2 linked regions of the Pelodiscus sinensis genome follow. Each later gene encodes a partner of the first gene's protein in a complex. Links are inferred from orthologs where the notes say so. Each region holds a gene or a part of one and is shown on either strand. Other genes may lie near its edges.

Evidence for each region.
Region 2: the proteins of CACNA1S (region 1) and STAC2 are in contact, whole or in part, in a crystal structure (PDB 6B27), measured with the Homo sapiens proteins. The link is inferred for Pelodiscus sinensis from reciprocal best matches to the Homo sapiens genes CACNA1S and STAC2. Residues at the interface, in NP_000060.2 of Homo sapiens: Glu749, Pro750, Glu751, Ile752, Pro753, Ser755, Pro756, Arg757, Pro758; in NP_945344.1 of Homo sapiens: Tyr301, Lys302, Phe303, Gln306, Glu307, Asp310, Asn326, Asp328, Trp329, Phe340, Pro342, Asn344, Phe345.

The regions. Positions count from the first base shown.
Region 1 is NC_134737.1:15,030,314-15,037,263, forward strand, and holds the start of CACNA1S (voltage-dependent L-type calcium channel subunit alpha-1S), read left to right. Parts: upstream 1-3,950; 5' UTR 3,951-4,331; coding exon 4,332-4,492; intron 4,493-6,950. UniProt on the Homo sapiens protein: Pore-forming, alpha-1S subunit of the voltage-gated calcium channel that gives rise to L-type calcium currents in skeletal muscle.
Region 2 is NC_134739.1:12,029,434-12,037,447, forward strand, and holds the start of STAC2 (SH3 and cysteine-rich domain-containing protein 2), read left to right. Parts: upstream 1-5,010; 5' UTR 5,011-5,155; coding exon 5,156-5,245; intron 5,246-8,014. UniProt on the Homo sapiens protein: Plays a redundant role in promoting the expression of calcium channel CACNA1S at the cell membrane, and thereby contributes to increased channel activity. Slows down the inactivation rate of the calcium channel CACNA1C.

The DNA.
Region 1 (6,950 bases):
TTGAAAGTGAAAGTGGTCTGGACACGTTTAAAAAAACAAACAAACCTTTTTTAAAAAACCATGTAAACCTCATTTTTTTAAGGAAGAGGGGTTTTTCGAAAAAGGGTTTTTTTTTTTTCCTGAAAAAAATGCGTCCAGACTACTTTCACTTTAGAAAGTGAGACTGGAAAAATACAGCATAGTCTAGATGGACCCTTGGAGAGCTGTGTCCAGTTCTGGGCACCACATTTCTAGAAAGATGTGGAGAAAATGGAGACGGTCCAGAGAAGAGCAACAAGAATGATGAAAGATCTAGACAGCATGAGCTTGAAAGAAGACTGAAAGAATTGGGCTTGTTTAGTTTGGAAAGGAGAAGACCGAGAGGGAACATGATAGAGGTTTTCAGGTGTCTAAAAGGGTGTCAAAAGGAGGAGGAAGAAAATTGTTCTCCATGGCTTCTGAGGATAGGACAAAATGCAATGGGCTTAAACTGCAGTGAGGGAGATTTAGGTTGGACATTAGGAAAAACTTCCTAGCTGTCAGGGTGGTCAAACATTGGAATAAGTTGCCCAGGGAGGTTGTGGAATCTCCATCCCTGGAGATATTGAAGAGCTGGTTAGATAGGGATGGTCTATAGTACGGGGTCCTGCCGGGAGGGCAGGGACTGGACTCGATGCCTCTCGAGGTCCGTTCTGGTGTTCTACGATTGTGTGACTCGCCCGTAGGGGTTGGGGCCGAGAGCTCCGAATGCCACAGTCCACCGAGATTCTGCCGAGCGGTCTCAGCTTCCAAGGGGAGTCTGCCACTCGGTGGGTGGACTGAAGCCTGGTGCCACTCGGAGCTGGCACGGAGTTTGCCTGCTGACTGAGCCGGTGTGGTGACTTTCCGGTGGCAATTTGGGGCTTACTTAAAGCCTGCAAACTCTCGGGCCACCACCAGGCACCTGCAGCTCCAGCTCCATGAGGATCCCCTGGTACCGCTCAGGACGATCTTGTGTCTCCTGGGGCAGGCATTTCCCTGCCAGGGGCAGAGCTGGGGCCTCTGAATTTGCCATCTTGACTTGAGATTTTGTGGCCTTAGGACCCCCAAGAGCCACCCCCCAACGGCAGCCCTCTGTGTTAGCCCTTCCGGGCCAAGGAGACCATGGACCCCGCTCCAGCACTGCCCAGGGCAGGGAACAGACCATCCCCACCCTGCCGGACCCGTCTCTCAAAGCTCAGTCCGCCTCAGGGAGCCGTGTAGGGGCGGAGGAAAGCCAGGTACCAATTCCATGCTGCTGCCACACCTCCGCCTGCCAGAAGATGTCCCCAGAGACCCTCCCTGGCGCTCTCAGCAGTGGCTGGGGGGGCGTTGCTCTGAGCCCTCCCTGGGGGGCTGCAGCAGTAACTCGGCCCATCCATTTAATCCCAAGTGACACGGGGACCCTGATTAGCAGGAGAAGGAGGGAAGGCAAGCTCGGGGCCCACGCGGGGCTGCAGTCAGAGGTGGGGACTCAGCCCATGATACCCAGGGACCCCAGCGTGTAGGGGCCAGAAGGAAAATGTGACCCTAAAATGCAGGAAATGATCTGGGGGGAGGGGGGTGGAACTAATGTTGCTAATTTTACCCCTTTACAGCTGAGCTGATTCTCCCAGACAGGCAGCAACGGGCAGGAACAGCTGCAGCGTCTCCCCTCCCCCAGCTCGCTTGCCGGCACCTAGCTGGGATTCGCCAGGACTGTGCTGCAGTGGGGCTGCTGGGCCTCCGACTGGGATGCGCTTCAGAGTGGGTGACGTGAGCCTGAGGCGGCATGAGCCGTACCAGGGATGCTCTGAAAGTGGCAGTGTGGCTGAGTGGTTAGCACCTTCAGGGCACCCGGCTTCTGTCCCTGGCCTGCTGGGTGATGTGGGGCCTTGTCGTGTGGGGCTGCAGTTTCTCCACTTGTAAAGAGCCTACTGTCTCTGTCGCGCGCTCTCAGAGCATGGCTGTGAAGTGCAAGGTACGATTGTTTGGTCAGCTCTGCTGTGGCTGTGCTATATGACTCTGAGAAGGCTGCTGCTCCCTGTCTCAGTTTTCCCACCTATATAATGGGGATAATCTGCCTTACCCACTTTTCTCAAGTGCTCTGAAATCTGCAGGTAGAAGGCTGCCTGTGCTCAGTATTCTCCAGTACTTGTGGCAGACTGAAGGCAGCAGGCTGCAGGAGTTTGGGGAGGGCAGGTACACGGGGAGTCGGGTGAGCGGGTTCCTGTTCTCTACCTAGGCGGCTAAAAGCTACCTTTAGATCTGCAATTGTGTGTCCAGGGAGATTGAAGTGTTCCAGACGTGTACCCAGAAGTCTCCTACTACAAGACAAGCCCAAGAAAGAAACCAACAGAACACCACTGGCCATCACCTACAGTCCTCAGCTAAAACCTCTCCACCGCCTCATCAGTGATCTACAACCCATTCTGGACAATGATCCCTCACTCTCACAGGCCGTGGGAGGCAAGCCAGTCCTCGCCCACAGACAACCCGCCAACCTGAAGCAAATTCTCACCAGCAACTACACACCGCACCATAATAACTCGAACTCAGGAACCAAGCCCTGCAACAAACCTCGGTGCCAACTCTGCCCTCATATCTACACCAACGACACCATCACAGGACCTAACCACATCAGCCACACCATCACGGGTTCATTCACCTGCACATCTACCAATGTAATATTCGCCATCATGTGCCAGCAAAGCCCCTCCGCTATATACATCGGCCAAACTGGACAGTCCCTACGTAAAAGAATAAACGGACACAAATCTGATATTAGGAATGGCAACATACAAAAACCTGTAGGAGAACACGCTCCCTTGGAAGCCGTCTCAGAGCTTCACTGCCCTTCTGACTGACTGATGGGCTCTCACAGCCCCCGGTGCAGAAAATAGGGTGCTGCAGCCCCAGGCTTTGCACCTCAGCCAGCACCCCGAGCTCTTAGGGTCCCTGCCATTGGCCCCCAGGGATCATGGATGCTAGGCCTGCTGCAGCGTGGGGCTCTGCTGCTGGCCCCACGTCCTGCTGGGCAGCGGGTCCCACTCGGCCATCAGCCCTATGCCTGGTGGCTCAGTTGCTGGCCATTGTCCCACTTGGCTGCTGGACTTGGAGGCTCCGCTGCTGGCGCCTCGCCACAAGCCCCATTTGCAGGGTCCTGGCTGCCAGCCCCAGCGGTAGGGGGCAGTGAGGGGGGTGGGCAGGAGTAAGGGTGCACCAAGTACCCCCGCTCCAGAAACAGCACGAGGGCCGCTGCTTGCAGCCGAGCGTGGGCAGCAGCAGAGCTGGGCTGTTTGTTCCAAGCTCTGGATGGGGCTCAGGACACTGCTCCCCACTCCTCGTGCAGGGCCGTCCGTGCAGGGCCTGCTCATTACAGTCCCATCCAGGGGCAAGAGTTCTGAGCTGGGCAGAAGCAGGCTCTCAGGGCTCCTGCCAGGCGTGGGGCTCGGGAGAGCTGCGTTCCATGGCCTAGCTGCACAACGGCTGTTAGGTGCCCAACTCCCAGTGGTCACTATGTGCCTAAATCCCTCTGAGGAGCTGGCCTCTGTTCCTCTTCTGCCAAGCAGGGACCAGACACTGGCTCCCTCCCATCCGTGTCGCTCAGATTCTGCCGGCTGGGACAGGGTCGGCCTCCCACGTATGTGCGGTGCCCAGCGCTACCCGATCCCGAGCACTAAGAACGGCCTTACGGGGGCCGTGTCCCACCAAGCGCGGTGGCAGGAGGAATTCCCGGGAAGCAGACACCAGCTGGGAGCGGCGAATGCCCAGCGCTAGTCTGGGTGGGTTTATCTGCAGCCTTCCCCCGCCCGAGGGAGGACTGTCGCTTCGCTCTGTGCGCGCCCCGCGCCCGCTTGCACAACGCAGGCAGCTTGTATTGTTTAAACAGCCTGCTGGTTCCTCGGGCTGCTCCAGAAGCCGGGGGGAGGTGGGGAAGAGGGTTAGGGAGAGAACTGAGCTGGGGCGAAGAGAGTTTTTCTCTGCGTATTTCCCTCTCGGCGCGAGTCCTTTGCCCCACTCCCAGCCTGGAGCGATGGCTTGGGAAGCCATGACCGGCTTGGGATAAGCTGGGGACGAAGCAACAGCTGCAGGGTTCTTTTGCTGTCTCAGGAACTCTGACAGCACCGGGCGCGGAGACGGTGTCTAATTTTAAACTCCTGCCTGGTGCATTTGTGTATGTGTGAGCTCGATTTTCAGCCCCCTGCCTCCCCCTCCGCAGCAAGGAGACTGGCTCGGCAGCAGAAGAGAACCAGAAGGGGTTTTGGTCGGGGGCCGGGGGTCTCAGCTGGGGGAGAAGTGGAGGAGGGGCCGGGGGGACAGCAGCTGGCAGAGGCAGCTAGGGAAGGAAGATCATGGAGTCTGCTTCTGCCCAGGATGATCAGAAGAAAAAGCAACAGAAAGAGAAGTCCAAGAAACCGGTGCCACCGGCAGCCCCCCGGCCAGCCAGGGCTCTGTTCTGCTTAACCCTTCAGAACCCCTTGCGGAAAGCGTGCATCAGCATCGTGGAATGGAAGTATCCTTTCTGTCTAGGCAGGGAGGAGGGACCGGGACTGGGGGGGCTAGAAATACGGGAGACCAGCACCCCGACAAAGGCCGAGGGGCACTGGCCAGTGTGTGATCAGGGAATGCCTCGACCCAGCGGCCGGCCAGAGGAAAGTACGTGGCCAGGGCGCTGGAGGGAGCGTTCGGGGCTGTTTGGAATGTGGTTTACGCAGAGCTGGTGTTCCTGTCCCTGGCGGCCGGAGAGGGGCCTGTCGGTACGGCCCGTCTCGCGGGGGATCCGAAAGGCCAGGGGAGGCTGAGGAAAGGTGAAATATCCATGAAAAGGAGCGAGGGCCCCGATCCTGTGATTCCCGCTGCACTCAGGGACGTACAGCTGGCGTCAGGGAGGTCCGGATCTGGCCTGTTTTCTTGGGCCGAGGGCAGAGATGGTGCAGCAGAAGGGGGGATGTTTGGGAGGTTTGGCTCAGGGACCCAGTGGCTTTTGTTTAGTCTTTGGCAGCAAGCAAAGATGGGGCCAATGGAAATAATCCCCAGAGTCCCCCTCTCGCGAGTGCAGCCTGGCGGGAGGGGGCAGATCTTGGCAGGGGACGCCGCTTTCGCTTCATGAGGGAAGACATACAATCCAGGGCTGGCAGAGGCCATCTTGGGGAGGAATGCGAGCGGGCCAGGCGGAGGCGCAGGGACTTGGGGCAGCGTGCCCGGGGCGCGTCGTGCGCCGATGGCGGGCAGGTGCCGCGCGACTGGAGAAGCCGGGCCAGGGGTCGGGGTGTGGTGGGGAGAGGACGCACTTTGCAGAGGGAGCAGGAAAGAGAATAAGGCGGAGGAGGCCCCGGGAGGGGCGGTGGGGCAGGGGGAGTAAAGCCAGGGGACGGAGAGACAGAGCTGCTTGGAATAGCTCCGGGAGTGCGTCAGCGCCTCGCCGGCTGCCCACAGCTGCTGTCTGACATCACAGACGGATGGCTGCCTCTGCCCCTCTCCTCGTGCTTTCCTTCGCCCTCCTTTTCCCCTCCCCATCTCTGTCCCCACCCCCATCTCTCTGCCTTCCCCCGGCCCCTCCCTCTCTCCAGCCAGGGCCCTGGCGCTGAGCCCGGCTTGGCCGAAAGGCCTGCTGCAGAGGACCGAGTTCAGGGTGATAACAGAGAGTTCGCAATGGGCCCGTCTAGGAACCTGTGATTCTTTCCTTTCCCCGCCCTCGCCCTCCCCTCCTTTCTACGCTCTGTCTCTGTCTCCTTCCCCTCTCCTGGCTCTTTCTCGTTGGACCTCCCCACCCCATCGCCAGGGAGGCTGCCCAGGGGGCACAGAACCTGGGCCCCGGGACCCAGCTGTTCTCCCTTGGCGCCTCATGGGGACGCTGCCAGGCTCGCTCACGGGCCAAGCCGGCGGGGGTCAGAGGCGCTCGGCTTAGCCCCGGGCCCAGAGAGGAGCCGAGGCTGCTTCCCTGCCCCTGAAAATCGTTTGCTACAAAACTCTCGAGGGACGTGTCAATTTCTGCCCCTTGTCACCATTCACAGGGCACTGAAATCCAGGCCTAGCTCCCTGGGCGGGGGGCGAAGGTAGGGAGGCAAGTCCCCAGCCCCGCCCCCAGCCCCGCCCCTTCTGCCTAGGCCACGCCCCCATCACGGGGAGGTGGGGTGGTGCTAGGCCCAAGCCTCCCAGCCCCAGAACCTGGGGATGGCGGGCGCTTGGGGGCAGCAATGCTCCGCCTGCAGCAGGTGTTTGGGGGGCGGGGCCAGGCTGGCAGTTCGGGAAGGCAACGCCTCCCCTTGCCTAGCGTACCAGTGCCCATGCCTAGCTCTTCCCTTATCCCTGGGGCTGGACTTGCCTGTGCGTCCCGCTGGGACCGTGCACGGGACGGGCAGCGCCCCGGCATCTGCGTGCACTTCCTGCTGGCCAGTTCCCCCCCAGCCAGCCCCGCTCCCTCTGACCCCCTCCCAGACAGCTCCCCTCCCCTCCTGGCCGGTCCCCCCCCATCCCGTTCTGAGATCACGTGTGTCTGGTATTTTTTTGAAACCCCTAGGAGCTGCCCCGGGACTGGGGAGCAGGGCTGGCTGGGAGCGATCGGGGGGGCAGGGGAACCAGCCAGTGGGAAGCAGGGCTGGCCAGGCAGGGATCAGAGGGAGCAGGGGGGAACTGGCCAGTGGGAAGCAGGGCTGGCCAGGCAGGGATCAGAGGGAGCAGGGGGGAACTGGCCAGTGGGAAGCAGGGCTGGCCAGGCAGGGATCAGAGGGAGCAGGGCTGGCGGGGGGGAACTGGCCAGTGAGAAGCGGGGCTGGCCCGGGTGCATGCAGATGCCAGGGCACTGCCCATCCCGCACCCCAGATCTGTAAGAGGGTCTAAATAGGAGCATTGGTGTAACCACCAACAGGAGACTTTGAACCTGGGACCTCTGGAGCTTAGGGTAGGAGCCACTACAGCAGGGTTACTCAACACACGGCTCATGGCCTATTTGTTTGCAGCCTGCAGTGCAG
Region 2 (8,014 bases), on another chromosome or scaffold:
ATGCCCATTGCACCCGGGGGGGGGGGGGTTGGGCTGCACCGCCCCCGCCCCCGGATCCCCCCCGGCCCTGCTCGGCCGCTGTCTGCGGGAGGCTGCACTGCAGTTGCCAAGCCGCGGGTATAACTCGGGCAGCGGCTCCGTGTAGCCAGGCGGGGGCCGCTTCCGCTGACACCTGCCGGGCCTGTGACGCCAGCCGGGTGCTGATGCAGCAAACGCGGCGCTGGTGACCCGCTTGCAGCCCGGCTGGGGGAGAACCCCCCCCCCCCCGGGGAGTCTGGCTCAGACGCCCCTGCTGGAGCTGGGCGCGGGGATGTCTCCTCCCCCAGGAGTTTATGGCTGGGACCGGCCCGCTGGCCTCCTGCGGCGGAAGGGCGCCCTCCATTGGGAGCGGGGCGGGATGCATCTGGGCCCGAGCTGGGGCAGTACACCCCCCTTGCACTGCCCCTGTCTGCAACCCACAGGCCCTGCCCCGTAGCCCCACACCCGCCGCTGGCTCACAGCAGAGCCACCAAGGAAGGGGCTGGCGGGGAGGGGCCTGCCTGCCTCCAAGCTGATGCTCCCCAGGCCAGGAGGAGCTGGGGGAGCCAGCAGGGGTGTGGCTGACAGAGCCTGGGCCTTTTAAGGGCCTGGGAAGCCGACCTGATTGCCCAGCACAGCTGCCTAAAAAAGGGTCAGTCCTGGGAAAATCTGGTTGGGTGGCAACTCTACAGCCAGCCTGTATCAGCCCCCAGCACCAGAGGAAGGGGCAAGACCCGCCTCCCCCCAGTGGACAATCATAGAACAACCTGCCCATGGGGGCATCTCTATAGGATTTACCCGGCTCGGATGGAGACCCTCGGCCTCCCCCGTCGCCAGGAAAGAAAACGCCCCTCGGCTCCAAAGCCAGATGCAGCTGCTGCCTGTGCCCATCTCTCTGCGAGGGGCCTGGGAACGGGGTCTGCCGGCCAGGCCGTGGGATGCCGGGGAGCGGCGGGAAGAGACGGACGAGCTGCGAGCGAAGCCTGAGCTCTGGTGGCTCCTCGGCTGACGCTCGCCGGCAGGGAGAGCGAGCAGAGAGCGCGCGAGAGACGAGGGACCAAATGGGTCGAACTCCGGGGGCTGTTAACCCGCTGTGACGTAGTGGGGGTACCTGGCTGGTTTCTATGCTGCTGGCTCTGGGGTAACCCCCCCTGGCTGCCGTGGGTACCACGACCCAGCAAAACAGGATGAGTCACTATGCAAAGGGACCTCTCAACCGGTATGGCCAGACACCCCCCATGGAGAGGAACAAAGGAAGGTGGATGCTGCCCTGGCTGGGGGGCAGGGCTGAAAGGGTGTTGGTTAGTTGCTGTCTGGGAGCATGGAGGAGACAGCCTAGGGAAAGGGGCTGGAGTTTAGGGGCCCAGTCTCCCCCATCTCAAGGGGGCCTGAGGCATCCTAGCCCAGCTCTGTGACCAGACTACATCTGTGCTGTGCTGTATCCTGGAGAGGCAATAAACTTCCTCTATTCCACCGGCTGGTGCAGTCTGTTTGTGCCATTTCGGGGTGCAGGAGACGGGGGACCCCCAACACGCCGTCACACCCGCTGCCTGAGCTTTTCCCTCCAAGGGAGGCTGCTGCATTTGGAGCCCAGGAGCAGAGCACGATGGAGGAGCAATGGAGCCCGACTCCAGCCAAAGCTGCCTTGCCTGGGACATGGTGGGGTCTCTCTCTTGGGCCCTGGCTTGGCCGGTTGCCCAGCTGGCGCCAGCAGCAGTTAAAGACCGTGTGACATGTTCAGGGTGGGAACATAGCCCCTCCCTCCCCCCAATATTTCCACTGCAGGAGGCCTTGCTCCGCTCTGACCCTGAATCCAGCTGCGCCTTGTCCAGTGTGTGACCAATGCAGGCAGTGGAGACATGGCAAATTCCTGGCAGCCGGGGGCGCTCGCCTCCAAGGACATGGCGGAGTCGCTTGCTCCAGGCCACATGGCTCTCCCGGAACGTTGGGCTGGAGCTCAAGCCAGAAGAATTTTCTCCCCAGTTTATCCTGGGGCTAAGGAGATTTAGAGCCCTGAAATCTACACATGGGAGGGGGGAGCTCCATTCAGTCCATTCTCCTGGGCCGGCTGCTGGAGTAGGGTGCTACTCCACATAGGGAGAGGGGAGCAGATTGGGGCCCAAGGGGTCAGATTCCCAGCACGCTGCGTGTCCCAGAGTGTCCGAATCCTGCAGCGCTCGCTGCGACCCCCCAGGACTGGCCTGTCCAAGGCTTCCAGGGCCCAGGCTGTAGAATCCCCCGCGCCCCTGAGACCAGCAGGAGCAGCTGGAGGCTGAGAATCTAACCAACGCCTGCCAGGGACGTCTCGTAAAAAGCCTCCTGTCTCGGCGATGACTGAAGCAAGACAAGGGGCTCTGGTGCATTTTAATTCCCTTGGCTTTGACGGATGGGACTAAATGGCTCGTCAGCGCCGTAAATCAGCCCTTTGCTTGGCACTGGGGGCAGTGACGCTTGTAAGACACGTCCTCCGCCCGGGGCTGCGTCAAACCAGAGAATCCGCCTCTCGTTTGGAGTGGCGGGGGGCGTGGTCCTGCCTCTTAGTCGTTCACCCCCTGAATTTCCCCCCACCTGGCAATTAGGACGTGGCCTCCATGCTCCCCTGCGCCCGTGGCCTCCCAATGGCTTCTGGAGGCAGTGGTGGGATGTATCAGCATGCCACTGGGCGATTTCGCTTGGGGAAGAACCCAGATGTGGCTTTCTCCACAAAAAAGCACCGAATTCTGCTGGGGTGTCTTCAAATAGATACCAGGCCTTGGACAGGCTGCGGATAGGGGGCGACTCCACTTTTTGATAGGGTTTCAGAGGCCTGGCTGCACTTCCAGCTGAGATCAATATAGCTCTGTCATGTGGGTGTGTGAAAAATCCGCCCCCCCTAAGCCCCGCAGCCCTGCCAGTTTAACTACCAGGGCAGCCACCGCTCAGAACAGCCCAGGGTGAGGTGGAGGTGATCGGAACTCAGGCATCAGTGAATTAGGTGCCTACTCGCCCTTGGGAGCTGGGTCTACTGCCCCTCTCTCCTGTCCCCAGTGTGGGGTGCTCGGAGCAGAGCCTTGCGGGAGAGAGAAAAGAGCTGGTATGTTCCACACACGTTACCCTTGCGTTTGTGTGGAGAACACCCCAGCCCCGTGTGGGCTGAGTAGATCCCAGCTACAGACACACACACAGACACACAATTCTCCGCCCTTCTTGTCACTGATCACAAAATGGCCCAGGTCTCTCGTCTTCAAAACCCAGGGACTGTATTTCTGCCGGGCGGGGAGGGGAGGGGGGCTCACACGATCTAACCACTCGGAGGGCCACAGGGGCTGGACACCAGCAGGCAGGGAGGGTTGCTTGTCCTGGCTCTACCACTGACTCACAACTTGCTGGAGGAGAAGGGGCAGCTCTTGTCACTGTCCTTTGGACAGAACCTTCCCCCTCGCTGCCCCTCTGCTGACCTCGGAGGGCCCAGGTGATGCCTGAAAGGGGAAGGCCAAGACAGGGCAGGAAGTTGTCCTGCAGGAGGGCAAACCTGCCAGGCACGCAGGGCTGATGCCAGGTTACTATGCCTGGTCGGGTTACTATGCTGAGACATGCTCAGAGGCTGGCGGATGAGTAGAGATGGTGGGCAGCAGAGTAGGCACAAGAATAGGCCTGGTGAAGTCATCAGGCGGATGCCACCGGCTTGAGCAAGAGAAGCCTGCGGCCGGGGAGGGTGGGGGCGGGTGGAGAGCAAAGGAGCCAGGAAAAGCCACTCTCCGGTGCTCAGCACCGCACAGGGCCCTGTGTCCTCCCTGTGCCCCCATCAGTCTCAGCCGGCAGCCCCACACGGCAGCTGAGAACCTGCCAGTGATCTCATTGTTCGCAAGGAGCCAGGCGGCATCCGTGAGCAGATGTCTGGGAGCTGGGCCTAGCCGGAGGCAGGCTGGGGGAGGGGGAGAAGAGGCCTGACTTGTGGCACATGGCACAGACAACCAGAAAGTGGGGCGCAAGGGGGGTGAAGGTTAAGGCAGCAGGGGACGGGTCTTGTTCTCGGGGACGGAAAAGAGAACCGCCTGCCCCACTGGGGGATTTTAGATCTTGCTGAAAGCAGGCAGCGAGGAAAAAAATTCCACCTTAAAAAAGGGGAGATGCTTCCACAGAACCCCTTGCCCCTCCAAATTCACTGGATATGAGGGACCCCGCTGGCCCAGGCCGGGGTGTGTGTGTGTGTGTGTGTTCCAACAATGCACAGTAGCAGCTGGCAGCAAGAGTATCTGTGGAGTGGAAGGGAGAATAGGGGGGTGAGGATAGATCTGGGGGTACCGCCCCAAAAAACACCTGATCCCACGGAAGAGACTGACACACAGCCTGGCAGAGGGGCTGGAACAATATGGGGTGGGGGGGCTGAGAGCCACGACCCAAATGGTGAACCCTGGCTATGATGGACAGACACCCCATCCATCCAGGGGGTGCGGCAGCCCCCCCCATCCAGCCAGGGGGTGCGGCAGCCCCCCCCAATCCAGCCAGGGGATGCGGCAGCCCCCCCCCCCATCCATCCAGGGGATGCGGCAGCCCCCCCCCAATCCAGCCAGGGGATGCGGCAGCCCCCCCATCCAGCCAGGACAGCCCTCCCCCTTCCTAGGTCTGCTCTGAAACTGACCAGCTGCCGACGGGGGGGCCCCCTGCAGAGCCGAGAGCCCCGGCTCCCACGGTGCGGGAAGGGGGGGGGCAGCTCCACCCCCTCGCAGGGAGCCAATGGGCGGGCGGCGGCTGCCTCTGGATTAGCATAGCCAATGAGCGAGCGAGGTTAATGAACTTCTCGTAAAGCCGAGGGGGCGGAGCCAGGCAGCCTCCTAAATCAAACTTGGGCGCAGCGTGCGGCGGCGGCTCAGAGCGCGGGGATCGGGCGCCCAGCGCGGAGCGGCCGGGCCGGGCCAGGGGCAGAGCCGGGGGCGGCTGCAGAGGACAAGCCCGGCGCGGGGGCGGGGTTTTCTGCGCTCGGCTCGGGGGGGTTGTTGCATTAAAGCGGCGACCGAGAAGTTTTCTCTCCAAGTGGGAGCAGGGGGGGAGCCGGGGCCGCGCCCCCCCTTCGGGCGGGGGGGGGTTTATTCTCCCAAGCCAGCAAGGGGGGGGGGGTCTGTCTCCCTCCCCCTCGTGCCCCAGTGGCGCCCGCACCATGACGGAGCTGACGGAGAAGGAGAACGACCCCCAGGGCGCAGATGCCCAGCGGTGCCCGGGCACCTTCGCCAGCCCGCAGGAGACCAAGGTAACGCGGAGCCCGGACGCCTGCCTCTGCCCCCCACCCGCCTGGAGAGACGTTGACTTGCAGCCCCCCCTTTACTCCTCTGCCCCCCTTCCTCTTCCCCCCCCCCCCCCGACGCGCGTCCTGCGCGGTGCCAATGGGCCCTTTTCCAGCCGGGGGGCGCACGCCTGCCCCGCTCGGAGCGCCGCCTGCCCCGGGGCACTTTGGCTTGTCAGCGGCCGCGGGGAGGGACGAGCGGCCCCTTTGGGGGGCTGGCGGGGGCTCTCGCTGAGCGCCCCCTTGGCACTAGCTTGATCCTCCTGCGGGGCGACCCAGGAGGCTGCCCTGACAGAGACCTGCCCCCTCTTGCTGCACCAGATGATGCTTAAACTCCTCAATGGGTGGGGATGGGGAGAGGGATTGTTTTGCTTGTATTCTTCTCCCCCCCCCCCCAAAAAAAAAACAAAAAACCTGCCAGCGCCTGGAGCTTGGCATCTGGCTTCGCTCCTGGCCTCAGCCAAATGGGGTTTCCAAGAGAACAGCTGGGACGCCTCTGCTTCCCCCTGCATAACCGGGGATGGGGCACTCCAGGGGTGGGGTGTCTTGTGGCCGGGCAGGGTGGGGAGGGTGCCGGGGTCTGGCAAGAGGCAGGGTAGCGCTGCGGCAAGGGGATCTCTTCTCCCCCAAGCTTCATGGGAGGCCTCTTTGGCATCACCTTGGCGTTGCAGCAGCCGGAGCGGAGAGGGGAGAGCCCCTGGGGATGTTGGGGGGCAGAGGACGAGGAGTTCAGTGGGAGATTTACACGTGGGGATTTGGAAGGGGAGGGGTCACTGCTTCAGGCTTCATTCAAAACACTTCGAGCAAACCCAGCAGACAGGGACCGACCTGGTGCAGAAACCAGGCCTCTTACCCCCCCCCCATCCTGTCTGGACTCCCCCAGTTTGACGTACTAGAACTGCGGGGAGCCCATGCAGTTCCGGGGCGTAAGGCAGGAGCGGAGTCCTGGTAGGTTGCTGGGCTGGAAGGAAAAGGGGGAGCAGATTTTACAGGGGCTCGTGGCGGGGGGGCTCAGTGCCGCCGTGACACAAGCAGAGGGTCGGAAAGGAGGGACGTTCGGGGTGCGATTTGCTGCCTTTGCTCTCGCCCTGGCGTAGGACGGCTTGGTGGGTGCCTGTGGAGTGATGCTGGTTGGATGCCAGTGTAAACGCAAGTGGATTCAGGCCTGGCTTCCTTTTCGCGAGAGGTGCTGTCCGTGGCTCGGGTGTGTCTGGCTGGTGCCCGTCGCTACCCCGCTCTGGCATGTGGCTGGAGTAAAATGGATCCTGTGTGTTTGTGACTCGTTTAGGGGCTGGGCATACAGCCTGCAGGCCATGTGTTTTTTGTGGGGCTGGGCCCACAACCTGGAGGCTGAGGGTTTGGGGGGGCTGGGCCCATACCCTGGAAGTGTGGGCTGGGGGTGGGCCCACAGCTTGGAGGCCGAGGGTGCGGGGGGCTGGGCGTACATTCCAGAGGCATTGGTTTTGGGGGGGACTGAAGCCTCACTTCCAACTCACCCCAGAACCATACAGGATCCCCAGAGATGGCACATGGCTTGGATGGGGCAGGTAGCATCTGGGGTCTCCCTGCGGCGTGTTCGAACCACGGTTGGAAGCCAGACTTGAGTGATGAGCTGTCTCCGGCAGTGCCTTTGGGACCCTTGGGGTAGGGGCTGCCCCCCCACTCTGTATCGGGGGGGTGGTCCTGGGGGCAGCAGGCCCTGCTGTGAGCCCTCGGCCGCAGGAGCGTTCCTCACGCGATGTGGGCCCCGGTCTGCGAACCGGGTCGGCCACGGTGGCTGCAGCAGGCTCTGAGCCTGTCGTCCGTCCGAGTGGCAGGGACTGAACTGGGGCACTTTGGGGGCTGGTTGAAGTAAAATCCCGCTGGTGCCCCCCAGTGTTCCCTCTAATTGCTTGCATCCATGTGCGGAATAAATGTTCTGCGCAGTGTGGCCTGTGCGGACGTGCACCACCCGTAGAAACACCCGCTGCTGGCTGGGGGCGCTCTGCTCAGCAGCTGAGCAGCGTGTGACTCTCCTGGGTGGCCGCCCAAGCACTCAGCATACAGGGCACCCTGCTGCTGCCGGCGTGTAATGAGCAGAGGGGCCGGAGGCTTTTTGCAGCGGGACCCAGTGACTCCCCTGCCGGCGCAGCGATCTGGGCACCCGCGAAAGGCTCTGGAGGGGCGACCACCCGGGCGCTGCCTCTGCTCTGTCTTGGCCCAGGTTGCCATCTGCTCTGCCTGCCCCCCATACCCTCCAAGTGGGGGGGCAACTCCATTTAGAGACCCGGGAAGGGCCGAGGCCTAAGTGTTTCCACCAGGCCTGTCGCTGCTGTGGGTGCCTCGCGGTGACCGCATAGACCATCCCTACGCCTCGGGCCCAGGAGACAGGTGTGTGGGGGGGGGGGATTTCTCCTGGCCCAGGGCAGGCCCTGACCGTTCCCGCGCCGGGGAGGGTGGATGCAATGTGCCCAGAGAGCGGCTTTCCGGGCCCCTGGCTGCCCATCAGCAGGGACCCACCTGCTCTTTCCGCATGCTGCCTGGTTGTCCCCTCCTCGCCATCCTGCCGGCTGCCCACCCTCTGCCCACCCAGGCAGGTTGGCATCCTCCACCCCCTTGTCCCTCCAATCAGTGTGCCAGCTGCCCTCTCAATGAGAGCCTTTCCGGCCCTGTCCAGGGAAGGGGGCATGTGGGGCCAGGTTGCCTCTGGGGATTCCCTGCGTGGGGGGCAGCGGGAAAGAGGCTTGGGCGCAGAAT